Linked DNA regions of Oryzias latipes. The protein of the gene in region 2 purifies or fractionates together with the protein of the main gene of each other region. This does not show direct contact. Links are inferred from orthologs where the notes say so. Each region holds a gene or a part of one and is shown on either strand. Other genes may lie near its edges.

Region 1 (4,035 bases), on a different chromosome or scaffold from region 2:
GTCCACATGATGTTTCGCACAAAGTCATTCCTTAAACCCTGCAAAGAATGCAAGTCGTCAAAACTTGTACAGAAAGAATTTAACAGTAATCAATATCACAATCTTTGTTTAATTTTTCAACAATCTTCCCCCCATTTTTCCATAAAACACAGTCTTGTACTTTTTTCCAATCAATTCATTTGATAAAAATACGCGAACAATACATCAAATCCAGTATGAAAAGTGTTTAAACATAAGTATATCAGATAGTGCTGATCTTTATAAAATTCAAAGCTTAAATAAACAAAAAACCTCACAAATGTGTTTTCACCTCATATCCTTTGCAACCCTCAGTGGTGCTTCTTATATCTCTTCACTCTTAGGTGACGCTGTGTTGTTCTATTATTATACTCTTCATAGTATTTTATATGCACCTAGTCATAATGATAAGGAATACTGCCACCTTGTGGCCGGAGTAGTCATTTAATATCCTGAGTCGATCAAAGCTAAATGAATGCAAATAACGGTTAAATATTTCTTAAACTTTCCTTTTTATTTCGAAATTATAAACACATTGAATAATCTTTGAAAATAAAAACAATATCCAGCTCTTGTTTGTGGTGAAATTCCAGACATTTGAATAGAACTTTGTTACCTGGCTGTTCTCGCCTTCATTGAAGAGAGCAGGGAGGTTTTGCTCTTTTAATACTGATGTCACCTGGCCCAGAGCAAATTTACTGTCCGCAGAAACACCTTCCTGAGTATCAAAAGGCATCAGTGTGTTCATTATATTTTTGGGCATTATGTAATTGAACTGAAAACAAACTAAAAAAAAAAAAAAAAAAAATTCTTGCCCGCCACAAAAATTCTCACTGTCTGAAAACAGCTTTTTGACCCGACCATACTTATTGAGCTCACTAGTAAAGCTACCTGTTCAGGAATTTCTGATTCTTGAGCATCTGATGGGCTGGTAAAGGTTGCAGGCCACGAGGAGCTGCACTCTTCAGCATTTTTGTCATCATCCCCCTCATTCATGTTGTCTAACACAGGCTCTGCAGCCCCATCACCATTTATGCTGCAGAAACAAAGAAAAACATGTGATTTTTGGACAGATTATGTAACAAGAAACACGCCCTTAAGTAGAACATTGCACCAAATTATATCTAACACTATCCTAAACAAAAACTTACCTGTAGTAGAGAAACTTTGACAGGATGGCTTTCTGATACCAGTGCTCTTTACTCTTTTTCTTCCGCTGCCATTTCTGATCATTTAGACGCTGGTAAAAATCTTTAAGCCATGTCCAGTCTCCTGTCTAAACATTGCATTAAAAAAAAACACATTACTGTCAAAAATAAAATATAAATGGAAGAATGTAGAAAAGGGATCCACCCTCAAATCTACCTGAGAGGATCTTCTAAAAAGCTCCTGAATGTCCAGCTCGTCTACAAGCAACGTCCTTCCAACCCGGTGAACAGCCATGCTAACGTGGGACTTGCTGTAAGGAATCTTCAAGAGTTTCTTGATGTTCTGAGGATGATAGAGCCCATCATTAAAGTCTGCCATGTCTTCAAATGTCAGAGAGGTAAAAAAAAGGAAAACTCTCCACAAACCTCAGAGTCTGATACCACATCAACACCATTCCCAATACAATCAATGAAGTCATAGGCAATTCCAAAACTAAAATGAAAACAAAGAAATGTGATACATCAATATGTGTTTAAATTGGTTAATTGTTATTAAAAAGAAAAAAAAAGAAATAGATTTTCAGGTTCAAACAAATACATAAAACGTTTTAAAATGTAATTTGGACCTCCCAATGTACTCTAAATCCAAAAATCTTAAGGTCATATGTCATCATTCAGGGACTGGATCTTTAAGAAATAGATGAGGAACCTGGAAAAGGGCTTGCTTTTGCTGCTTGACCCTAAAACAGCGCTGCCAAGCTGGGGGTTTTCCCTCAGCCAGTTGGCAGGTGGCAGCTTCAGGTCCGTCTTCTCCTCAGGGAGGGCATAAGTGCTGGGGGGGGCAGCAGAGTACTTGACCACAGCACTACTCTTCACTTCTCCATTTCCCAAATACATAGTGGGATCCTGGTGAAGCAGGAGACAAAAACATTCATGTTCTAATTAAACAGGAGAGGCAGACATTTGAAGTACAAATCTTAGTTTATTTTTCCTATGACTATGTAATAAGGTCTAATAACTGCATAAATAAGCCTAATAGAAACAAGGATTGCTTGTTAGTGTATAAACAAGACATAAAAACACAACATATTAATATAAACAATTATATAGCTCATTCTTTTATGTTGCTTACCCGTTTGCTGCAATCCTCTGAGCAGGCAGGACTTCCAATGTCTTTATCATTATCCAGGAGGATCCCAGGATTTCTGTCATCGCCAGCTGTTGAGCTCATTTTTTTTTCTACAACACTTTATTATTCCCGCTTAAATTAGCGAAATAATTCGTCGAACAGCTACATTATTATATGTAATTGGTGTTAAGATAATGACGTATCGTTCTTCCGACTCGATGATCTGCCTCCTGACCTGTCGCACGAATCTGTAGTAACAGAAAGTCAGGGTTCTTTCTAGATAGTTCCAGAGCTTGCGAGGCTAAAATAAACCGCACTACTAGCAAAGGTAGAAAAACGATTCAGCTCAAATCACATCAACTAAAACACATGGTTAGTTTTATATCCTCCACATTAATAATAATTTATACTTTCAAACTTCTCCCACTATTTTCGCTCAACAGAACCCCAACTTACACTGTTTTGCCTCTCTTCTGTATCCAACTCGCTTCTTAGCAGTCAACAAACAACGACTTCCGGTTGGAGGAATGCCAAATGCAACATTGATTGTATTTTTACGTTTTGAAGTGGAACATGTTTTGAATTTTTTTTAAGTAAGTTCACAAAAATATTTTAGAACGTAAAATGATGCATTTAAAAATAAATTCTGTTAAAAATCTAAAATACAAAAATCTTGAACCGGAAGTATTTGCAGTCTATGTTGGTCGATTATCTTTTAATGATTATACCCCATGTAATTGTTGCGTGGTCATCATTATTATTTTTATTATTATTATTATTATTATTATTATTATTATTATTATTTTGGCATTTACACTGTTATGATAAATTACAAACATTTTAAAATAAATTTTGTATTCGTATAAAACATTTAAAAAACTTACAAATGCCTAAATATATGATTTTGTAATGTATTTTGGAATACTTTATTCCAAAATTACGGAAGCTCTGAGCTGCCACTGCGAAAAATATTTTTTGGAACAGCTTCTCGTAATAACGAGAAAGTATCTCGTTATAACGACATACTTTCTCGTAATAACGACATAGTTGTTTACAGTAAAACGTCATCTTCTCGCGGGACATTTCATTCTCGTCTTGATGACCTGTGGGAAAAGATGGAGAATCAGCGGGAGCCTCTTTATTCCTTTTTAAGGGATAGAAATGTGTCAGAGGACAGAATTTCCACCATGAGGAATGACAAAGTAAGTTATACTTATGAAAAACATAGTTTACGTGAGTTTCATATCGATTTAATTTATTTTTTTGTTACTGAATGAGCCTGCCGTGTACTGCGTAGACGTGAGACCAACTAAGACCTCGTTAACTTAAGTATTGTAGTAGCTGCAAGGAAGCTCCTTAGGCGGGCGGTTGTCAAACAGCTCTTTATTAATGTTTCTGTATCTCAGAACGGTTACAGCACGAACCAACAGGCACAGCGAGCTTCTTCTAACTCCAGCGACAACGTTCACCGAACGCACACGCACACACACCCACAGGTAGACCCCGCCCCCTCTCTCCCACCAGTCATCAGCCCACCGCTGATTGACACACACTGTGGTCTAGCATCTTGCAGAAAGAGGGGGGCGCCGGCCACCTGCAGCTCTGTCCAAACTCTGGGTCGTCACAGTATGTAATGTTTTAGAGTTGCAGGGTATAACTCTCTTCAGTATGAACGTGCTGTGTTAACGTCTTTTATTAACATAACTGGTAGCAATCGCTTTTAACAGAAGGCTTCGTGCT
Region 2 (4,256 bases):
CGGTGAAATGTTTAGAATTTGATTACAGCTCCCACCTGTGGACATTTTCAGCAATAACATCACTTAAAAGAAATTTTGGGAAAATAGTTTCTAAATGTTTCTTCATAAACTACTGAAATAAAAAAATAGTAATGTAATAATAAAAACAGACGTATTAGATAACATGGCATGTTTGTGCCATGTCTTGAAGTTTTATAATAGCATCATGATTTATTTTCTTCTCTTTTTTGAAGACAGTAAGTCCATCTTTTTATGACTCCACCTTAAGACAACCTCACCAGATGAACAAGAATCTTCAACAACTAATTGCTGCTTTTAAAGTACAGTATTTTGTGAAGCTTTGTACAATAACTATTATAGTAGAACTTTCTAATATTTAGAACAATGAATTGAATAATATTGTGTTTTTAATACATATTTATTAAGCAGGATGACACCTAAAAAGGAAGCCAAAACCTTTGAAAAAAGATACTTTACCAGTCATTCTCACAGAAAGCAGAGATGAAATCGCTCTGCTGATGCTCAGGGTAGAGGAAGAGAACAGGCCAGTGCAACAAGCCCTTCTCATCCTGGAAGACCTGAGCCCCAGTGACTTCCTGAGAACTGAGGCCGTCCAACCTCAGCTGCTCCATGGCTGCTGAAGATTCATCCTCACTTTCTGAACCTTTCAGGTGAGGCTTCTTAGACTGGAGAAGCTTTATGCCTCGGTTCTTTGGAAGGAAAAAACTCTTACTTTAATATTGATGAAATAGGACTTACGATAAAGAATTGTTGAAATAATATGCTTGCATTTACCTGTATAGCTGTCAGCAGAGCCTCTTTTTCACCATGCAACTTCTTTTGTTTAACTTTAGCCTTCCTGGCGTCCCGCTCCGCTGCTCTCTAAGAAACGAAAAATGGAGACCTTTGATTCAACCTCCTCTTAAAAGCATCTTTCTGAGTTCATGACCTACTTTGTGTTTATCTGCTGTAGCTCTCAGCTCTCTGAGCTTCTCATCGGTGGTATGTTCCTTTAGCCCCTCGTCACACCACTGGAGAGCCTCTGAAAAGTTGCGCAGCTCAATGCAGCACTGAGCACCTATAGACCCCAAATCACACATTCTGTGTCAGCACTTGGTAGAACAGTTGGATATTTTTTTTTTTGGTACTAGTTACACATTAAGTGCTAATAACCTCTGATCAAGGCTTTAAGGTGGCCCGGCTTGATTTTTTTTGCAGCTGCAGCATCATTCAGTGCAGAGCGCATGTTCCCTGCATGGCACAAAATAAACATTTTAACATCATACATTTGTTATCCATTAAAAATCAGGAATTAATTCAATTTATCTCAAACAGTAAATCAATTTGTACCCAGGTGGAAGTGTGAAGCTGCCCGGTTAGTGAGGAGAACAGCATTGAGTTCCTGGTCCCCACATTTCTTCTTTAAAGCTCCAGTGTAAGAAATAATGGCCTTCTTGTAGTTCTTCTCCTTGAAAAACGCATTTCCTTCATCTTTCAGACTCTTTGCTTGTTCTACAAATTAGATAAGAAAAAGAAGAAAAAATAATAAAAAAATTAAATTAAATCAGACCCCATCATTTTCATGATAATTATTAAATTGACAGTAGATTAGTCATTATGTCGAGGACTGGCTCACCCTCTGGAGATCGGTCATCATCGTGGATTATTGACTGGAGACAAGCCAGTTCAGGGTAATTCTTAGGGTCTATTTCTTCAGGAGCTGTTTTCATGAACATTGGGATTTTATTAAACTCCTGAAAATTAAATACATCAGCAAGTTAGCCTCATCACCTGAAACGGCGTCAGTTTAATTGTCAAAGACCAAGTTCCAATTGCTGATTTACCTGCTCCCAGTTTTTTTCACTGAAGGCGTTTTTATATCTCTGCGTCTTGAATTTGTCCATGAACTCGTCCATGCCATCGTCACTGTCGCCATGAGTCTCTGCCGCCATTTTTGTTAAAAATATGTATACTCCAACAAAATGTTACAATTACGAATCGTCAATACGCCGATTATTTGAGGTGAAACAAGACCAGAGGCCGTCCAGTGTAAAATGTTCTTTAGACCTCTTGTTTACACATGTTCCCAACCGTACTGCAGAATGAAAGGTCCGTGCGGAATCACATGACGCATGTCTTTGGTTCCACCTCCAGATAAGCTCGCTTTTAAAATGTTCTTTATTCACAATCTTGTTTAGGCAGAGAACTAACTAATGTTAGTTGGGATTTGCGAATTTAAAAAGGAAAGTATTACAGTGAGATATTATTTTCTGATGTAACAAAGTAAAATTGTTGTAATTACCACTCAAATTCAAAATGATATTCTCTTATGCAGAAAAATCTATTTAAATAGGTTAAAAAAGAAAAATAGAAGAAATAAAATACATCCCCTATAAATAAATAAAAATAAAAGATAATCAGAATTACATTGCACCAAATTAGATAAGCTTGTTTGTCTTATGATGAAGTTTTGCTCCAACATGACCAATTTATTTCTGTACTTACCTATGTTTGTCACTTTTCCTCCTTTAATTTCCCCAAAAATGATGGTTTAACTCTTCCTTTTGTTTCCATGTATCAAAATGCACAAATTCCCAAAAGCCCCATCCGTTTTTCTTGCTAACTGCATTTAAGGTCTTTTTTTCTAAATTATGCAACGTGAAAAGAGGAGGGGCGGGTTTTAAATAAACAAAAACAAAGAAATATTACTAAGTTATATTTGGTGAGACAGTTAAGTCTCTGTTGTTTACATTTTTCGTGACCACAGATGCCGTTGTAGGTACCGGATGTTCTCGGGTTGCCGTATGTTCTCGGGGTCCTTCAGGGTCCTTCCAATGAGTTATATCACTAGAGGAGATATCACGTAGTTCCTCATGGGAGGAGAGCACCGCCATCTTGGTGAGGTCAAGTTTTGAAGACCAAACCACTTTTATAACATTTAATAAAGAGCTCTGTTTTTGCTTTCAATCACTTCATTATATGAAAAAGAAGAATGGCTTGAAATTGCTTAGTTTTGTTCAGAAATAAAAACTTCACGAGTACCCCTAACTTAACTAGTATTAGACTACTTAGATTTTTTCTATGTTCCTTTATTTTATTTTACTTATGTTTTTATTTATTTGTGTGTTATGTTCATTGTTTCTTTTTTTCCCCTCTATTCTTTATTTTCTATGTCAATATGTTATATTTGGCAATGGTGACTGATCTTCGAGGCAATATTGATTACATCTTTATTGTTCGTTGTTAACGTTTATGTCATTGTTAATGTATGATACCGCAATTGTCAATAAAGTTTTTAAAAAAACTTAGCGACGTTAACTCATTGGTCGTGGCAACTTACAGCCAATCAAATAGTGTGACGTCATCATTGGTCGAAGGACCCCGAAGGACCCAGAGAACATCCGGCAACCCGAGAACATCCGGTACCCACACCGTTATGTCCATTCCCCAATCTGGCACTGTCAGGTATCCACAGGTGTAACCAATCAGTTGCCTGATTACATTCGCACGAGGCTCTAATAAATATGTGCAAAAACGTTCTATAGTCAGCGATGAGTCCAGATTCTGCTATAGCTCAAAAGTTTTTCTTTGAGTTGAAATGCCCTTTACCAGAAAAATAAAAATGTTTATCTAACAAAACCCCATAACTTAAGGACTCACTCCAATGAACACTCCAAAGAATTTTTTTATTATTATTATTTTTTATTTTTCTGTTTCTATAATGTTCCTGTAGCACTTTCTCACGTAGGACCAATGAGTTATATCGCTAGAGGAGACATCACGTGATTCCTCATGGGAGGGGAGCACCGCCATCTTGGTGAGGTCAAGTTACTGCTGCAGTGCATGCATGTGAACTCATTTTTTGCTAAATGCCAGTTCATTGTGCAAGTTTCAACTGCCAAAATCAGAGTCCACAAAGGACGAAGGCAGAACATTTCACAGGTAAGAACTATAATTTTTTCTTTTACTGCTGGAGGGGCTTTATTAATAGAACACACGTTGGCATGCATGATGCTGCAGGGCTATTATCAACATGCTACATGAAGTACGTATAATTGCTGTTGACATAAATGTAAACTTTATTTAGTTAAACTTATAAACAGTATACTAGGACTAGGCTAATATAGTTATATAGATTTATACATTTCTGACTCAGTGACTGAACTTTTGTTGCAGGTTTCCAATGGATTCAGGCATAATCGACACGTCATCAACACGTCGTCGACGTAAGGAGGAAGGTACCTGCTTTTATTGTG
Region 3 (4,093 bases), on a different chromosome or scaffold from region 2:
TGAATCGTTTGGACTTTCTCTGGTGCCGGTGCCAAACCAGTACTTTTACAATGGTTCTGGTCCCAAAACAAGGCTTGAACAGATGCTTTAAAAATGAAAAACACAGCAAAGGCACTGCCGATAATCATGACTAACCACATAACCCAACGTTTCATCCAAATAAGAAACAAAGGAAGGAAAAGGATGGAGACCTGTGGCACCAGGACATGACGTGGGACAGAGAAAGGACTTCAGCTTTCATTTTCCTGTCCTTGTCTGGTGAAACGCTGCAAGATTAGAAGTGTTGCTGGGTAACAGCCGCCACTCGCCTTGAATACCGTCTTGCAGGTCCTCTCGTGACGTGTCAGGTTAGACAGGATGGTGCAGATCTGATCAGAGAACAGGTAATCTGGATCCAGAAGCTTCTTCAATAGAACCGGAAGAACTTTACCGTCTGACACTAAAACCTGGGTGAGACACGAGACACTTCACAACAGGGTCCAAAACATTAGCCAGCTGGAACTTTTATTCCAGGTCTGACCTGATGCAGAGTCTCATCAGCTGACAGGTTGATGATGATGTGGTAGCAGTCCTTCGCTATAGCAACAGAGATGTCAGAGGTCAGCGCAAAGAGGGCGCTGACCAAGTCCGGTTTGGACCGTAGGAAACAGCACCCTTCCCTGAAGGCAGATAGAAATGTTGCATGGAACACAGCATTGAATGGAAATGGAACCTGACTTCAGAGAAAAAGAAAGCTACATTTAACAGACGTTTTTACCCCGAACATGGATTCACTGTCTCAGGTGTTCCCACACACCAAGCCAGCTCTGCTGTGTAAATATTGTTTGCCCTTAAAATGATTCATGGCCAAAAGAGGCTGGGGGCCTCATTCCAACTGAGAGCCTGTGGAGGGAGTTGACAGTATGATTCCCAATAACAGCCCCAACACATTACAGCCCTTGGGGACCAAAGGAGCAGCAGACTCTTCAAACCTGGTGAATACCTTAAGGAAACCTTTGACCTCAGTCACTGATAACAGAAGTACAGTACAAGTATTGAGGTGAACCTTTATTTATGACAAATCCATATTTTCTGCTGCATTGTATTCTTTAAAAATCAAACAATGTGATGTCCTGGATTCTTTTCTCACATTCTGTCTCATAATTGTATCTATGATAAAGATTACAGACCAAAGTCATTTTTTAAGTGGAACAACTAGCAGAATCCCAGACTGACAATACTTTTTGCACCATTAAGGGTGACAACTGTAGATCAACTCAGTTTTTGCTCAGCTTCTCTTTTAGAAAAAGATGTCTTTATTGCTGTAAAGAGAAACAAATGGAAGAGCTGCCATTAGGCCTGCACAGTGTAAAAATCAATGAAAATTGTGATAAATGATCATCTTAAATGTCCTCAAACTATCTTATGGCAGCTTGAAGTGTTTAACGAACCAAATAAATCCCTTTATGCATTTGACCAATCAGATGGACTCCTTTACATCGTCGACCAATCAGAAGGACCCCTTATATGTTAGATGTTTGCCTCCTATGTAGACAGTGGAGTGTAATTTGGGTTAATAAGTTGACTTATTTGAATTCAACTGTTGCAGAGAAATGGAAATGATGTATTTAGTTGTTCTGCTATTTGCTAATTTATCGCAGGTTATATCGTCATCACAATATTGAACACTAATATTGCAAATTGCAAGTTTTCCTCATTTAGTGCAGCTCTAGCTGACATCTACCCTCCTCTAACCATCTGCCCTGAAGCTCCAAATAAAACAAAAACATGTGACTCTGCAGCAAAAACATAGAGCTCACTATGATGCTCTTCCCAGATTTGCAGGCTTTGTGCAGATGCATCAACCCATACGTTCATCACCTGCTGGCAAACTGGTCACTGCAAAGCTCTCTAGCTGGCTTTATCTGTATGAAAAGGACTCGACAAAAGCTAATGGCTTCATTCCAGAAAAGCTCTAAGGGTTTGAAGACACATGAAATCATTCATGAATGTGTTCTTTGGACCTTAAGCAGCAGGTGGGAACACTGACACCACCATAGTCTTCATCACCTGCTGGCAGACAGTCCCAGGATGTACTCGGTGGCCTTGGCCTTCACATCGGGGCGGGTACCAAGGGTCAGGAAGGACAGCAGCTCTGCAGCTTCACCATCACTCAGCATCTTCTCCAAACCACAAAAACGGGATGCTGATGATGAGACCAATGCAAAACGTTCATAACCAGCACAGCTTTCCTCACATTCACTACTCTGGTGACGACGCTGGAGTTGGCTTCCTATTCACAGCTTTCGATTCGTGAGGAAAGAGTATTCCCCTGCATTTCAAACTAAGACCACTGACCTAGGAGGACCGACCGTGTCCTGTTCAAAAACCACAGGACCAGGGCTGCTCAAGCCTGGATAAATGATTAAAGTATCATTTAGATAGTAAAGAATACATGAAACACTTTCTGATTTGTGAAACCTTCATCTGATTTTTGAAAATGTGAAATATGATGAATTCGGGGGGCGGGGCTTCAGTAATGTGGCTCTCCGCGCGCTCTGTCTACAAGTTCTCAAACTGTGTTTCATCTAATAGAAGAAGAAAAAAACTACGGCGTCACGTGTGTGGTTGAAAGGTAAGAATAAAAAAAATAAAAAAGGAATCCAGCGATCAAGACTAAAATTTCGATCATCGATGAACATGCAGGTGAAGCGCACTACCTTAACGACAGCAGCTCTGTGACACACCGCGCGGCGCTGATCCCCACTTCCGGGTTTCTTCTTCTGATGGAGCCTGACGTCCTCCAGCGCGTTTACCGCCCTCTCGTGGCCACTGCATGAAACACATTCATGTTGTCCGGGCGGGGGCCTTTTAATATGGAAGCGATTATGTAGCATAAATAAAAAGCAAAGTCAAAACCAGAAATGCTTTTACATTTTCAAAATGAAAAAGCATTTTTTGACTCAAAAATATAATGAAAAAGCAATCCACCAAAATGCTTTTTCATTTCCTTCCTCCACACAGCTTATTCTGTCACTTAATTAAAATTAAAATGAAAATGGTATTTGACATTTCATTTTCAAGACGTTCCATGGTAAATGTGTAGCATAATTCATTTAGAAATGTCTAATTTGACAATTAAAATGGATTAACAGAAATGCTTTTTAATTTTCAAAATGTAGCTGCATTTTTTGACTCAAAATTAAAAAGAAAAAGCAATACTTCAAAATGCTTTATCATTTTATACCTAAAACCGCTTATTCTGTGTCATAATTAAAACGAAAATGCAAAGAGGGGATTGCATTTGCATTTTAACATCCACCCCGCGCACCTTGTCACAATATTCATTTCTTAAAAGCATTAGCAGAGGGGAGGCGGGGCGATGACGTCACTGCTTTCTCTGTGTGTCCGGCTGCTGACTGACGCACACCCACGCACCAGTTCTGGACACCACTGGAAACACAAATCCATATGATGGTTTCTCAGATCGTAGCAGTATTTCCGCCTTCAGCGATCATCGGAGCTTCGCGCTCCGCTATGCGAAGGCAGCTGGCGGTCCGAAGAACAAAAGCTTGTCCGCGGTGCATCAGGAGGAGGACCGCAGAAGGCGGACATGCTGCTATGTAGTCCTGAGAAGCTGTGGAAACTCATCAGAAGTTCACAACCATCACAAAACCCTCGTCTCTGCCGCTAACACAGTCTGCTCCTGGTGTGTGTGTGCGTCAGTCAGCAGCCGGACACACGGAGAAAGCAGTGACGTCATCGCCCCGCCTCCCCTCTGCTAATGCTTTTAAGAAATGAATATTGTGACAAGGTGCGCGGGGTGGATGTTAAAATGCAAATGCAATCCCCTCTTTGCATTTTCGTTTTAATTATGACACAGAATAAGCGGTTTTAGGTATAAAATGATAAAGCATTTTGAAGTATTGCTTTTTCTTTTTAATTTTGAGTCAAAAAATGCAGCTACATTTTGAAAATTAAAAAGCATTTCTGTTAATCCATTTTAATTGTCAAATTAGACATTTCTAAATGAATTATGCTACACATTTACCATGGAACGTCTTGAAAATGAAATGTCAAATACCATTTTCATTTTAATTTTAATTAAGTGACA

What was found. The genes of interacting proteins can lie anywhere in the genome.
Region 1: the proteins of ttc4 (region 2) and edrf1 purify together in Homo sapiens (affinity purification with mass spectrometry; 3 studies listed by BioGRID and IntAct, counting the BioPlex papers as one, with this or other methods). This does not show direct contact. The link is inferred for Oryzias latipes from reciprocal best matches to the Homo sapiens genes TTC4 and EDRF1.
Region 3: the proteins of ttc4 (region 2) and hgh1 purify together in Homo sapiens (co-immunoprecipitation; 4 studies listed by BioGRID and IntAct, counting the BioPlex papers as one, with this or other methods). This does not show direct contact. The link is inferred for Oryzias latipes from reciprocal best matches to the Homo sapiens genes TTC4 and HGH1.

Annotation. Positions count from the first base shown.
Region 1 is NC_019873.2:19,101,032-19,105,066, reverse strand, and holds the start of edrf1 (erythroid differentiation-related factor 1), read right to left. Parts: upstream 2,801-4,035; 5' UTR 2,398-2,800; coding exon 2,299-2,397; intron 2,073-2,298; coding exon 1,876-2,072; intron 1,660-1,875; coding exon 1,593-1,659; intron 1,510-1,592; coding exon 1,384-1,509; intron 1,295-1,383; coding exon 1,170-1,294; intron 1,055-1,169; coding exon 910-1,054; intron 737-909; coding exon 635-736; intron 39-634; coding exon 1-38. UniProt on the Homo sapiens protein: Transcription factor involved in erythroid differentiation. Involved in transcriptional activation of the globin gene.
Region 2 is NC_019862.2:15,622,856-15,627,111, reverse strand, and holds the start of ttc4 (tetratricopeptide repeat protein 4), read right to left. Parts: upstream 2,801-4,256; 5' UTR 2,506-2,800; intron 2,391-2,505; 5' UTR 1,953-2,390; coding exon 1,845-1,952; intron 1,755-1,844; coding exon 1,637-1,754; intron 1,513-1,636; coding exon 1,351-1,512; intron 1,252-1,350; coding exon 1,174-1,251; intron 1,079-1,173; coding exon 954-1,078; intron 883-953; coding exon 796-882; intron 711-795; coding exon 478-710; intron 1-477.
Region 3 is NC_019863.2:850,291-854,383, reverse strand, and holds the start of hgh1 (protein HGH1 homolog), read right to left. Parts: upstream 2,801-4,093; 5' UTR 2,700-2,800; intron 2,186-2,699; 5' UTR 2,160-2,185; coding exon 2,050-2,159; intron 660-2,049; coding exon 521-659; intron 447-520; coding exon 309-446; intron 1-308.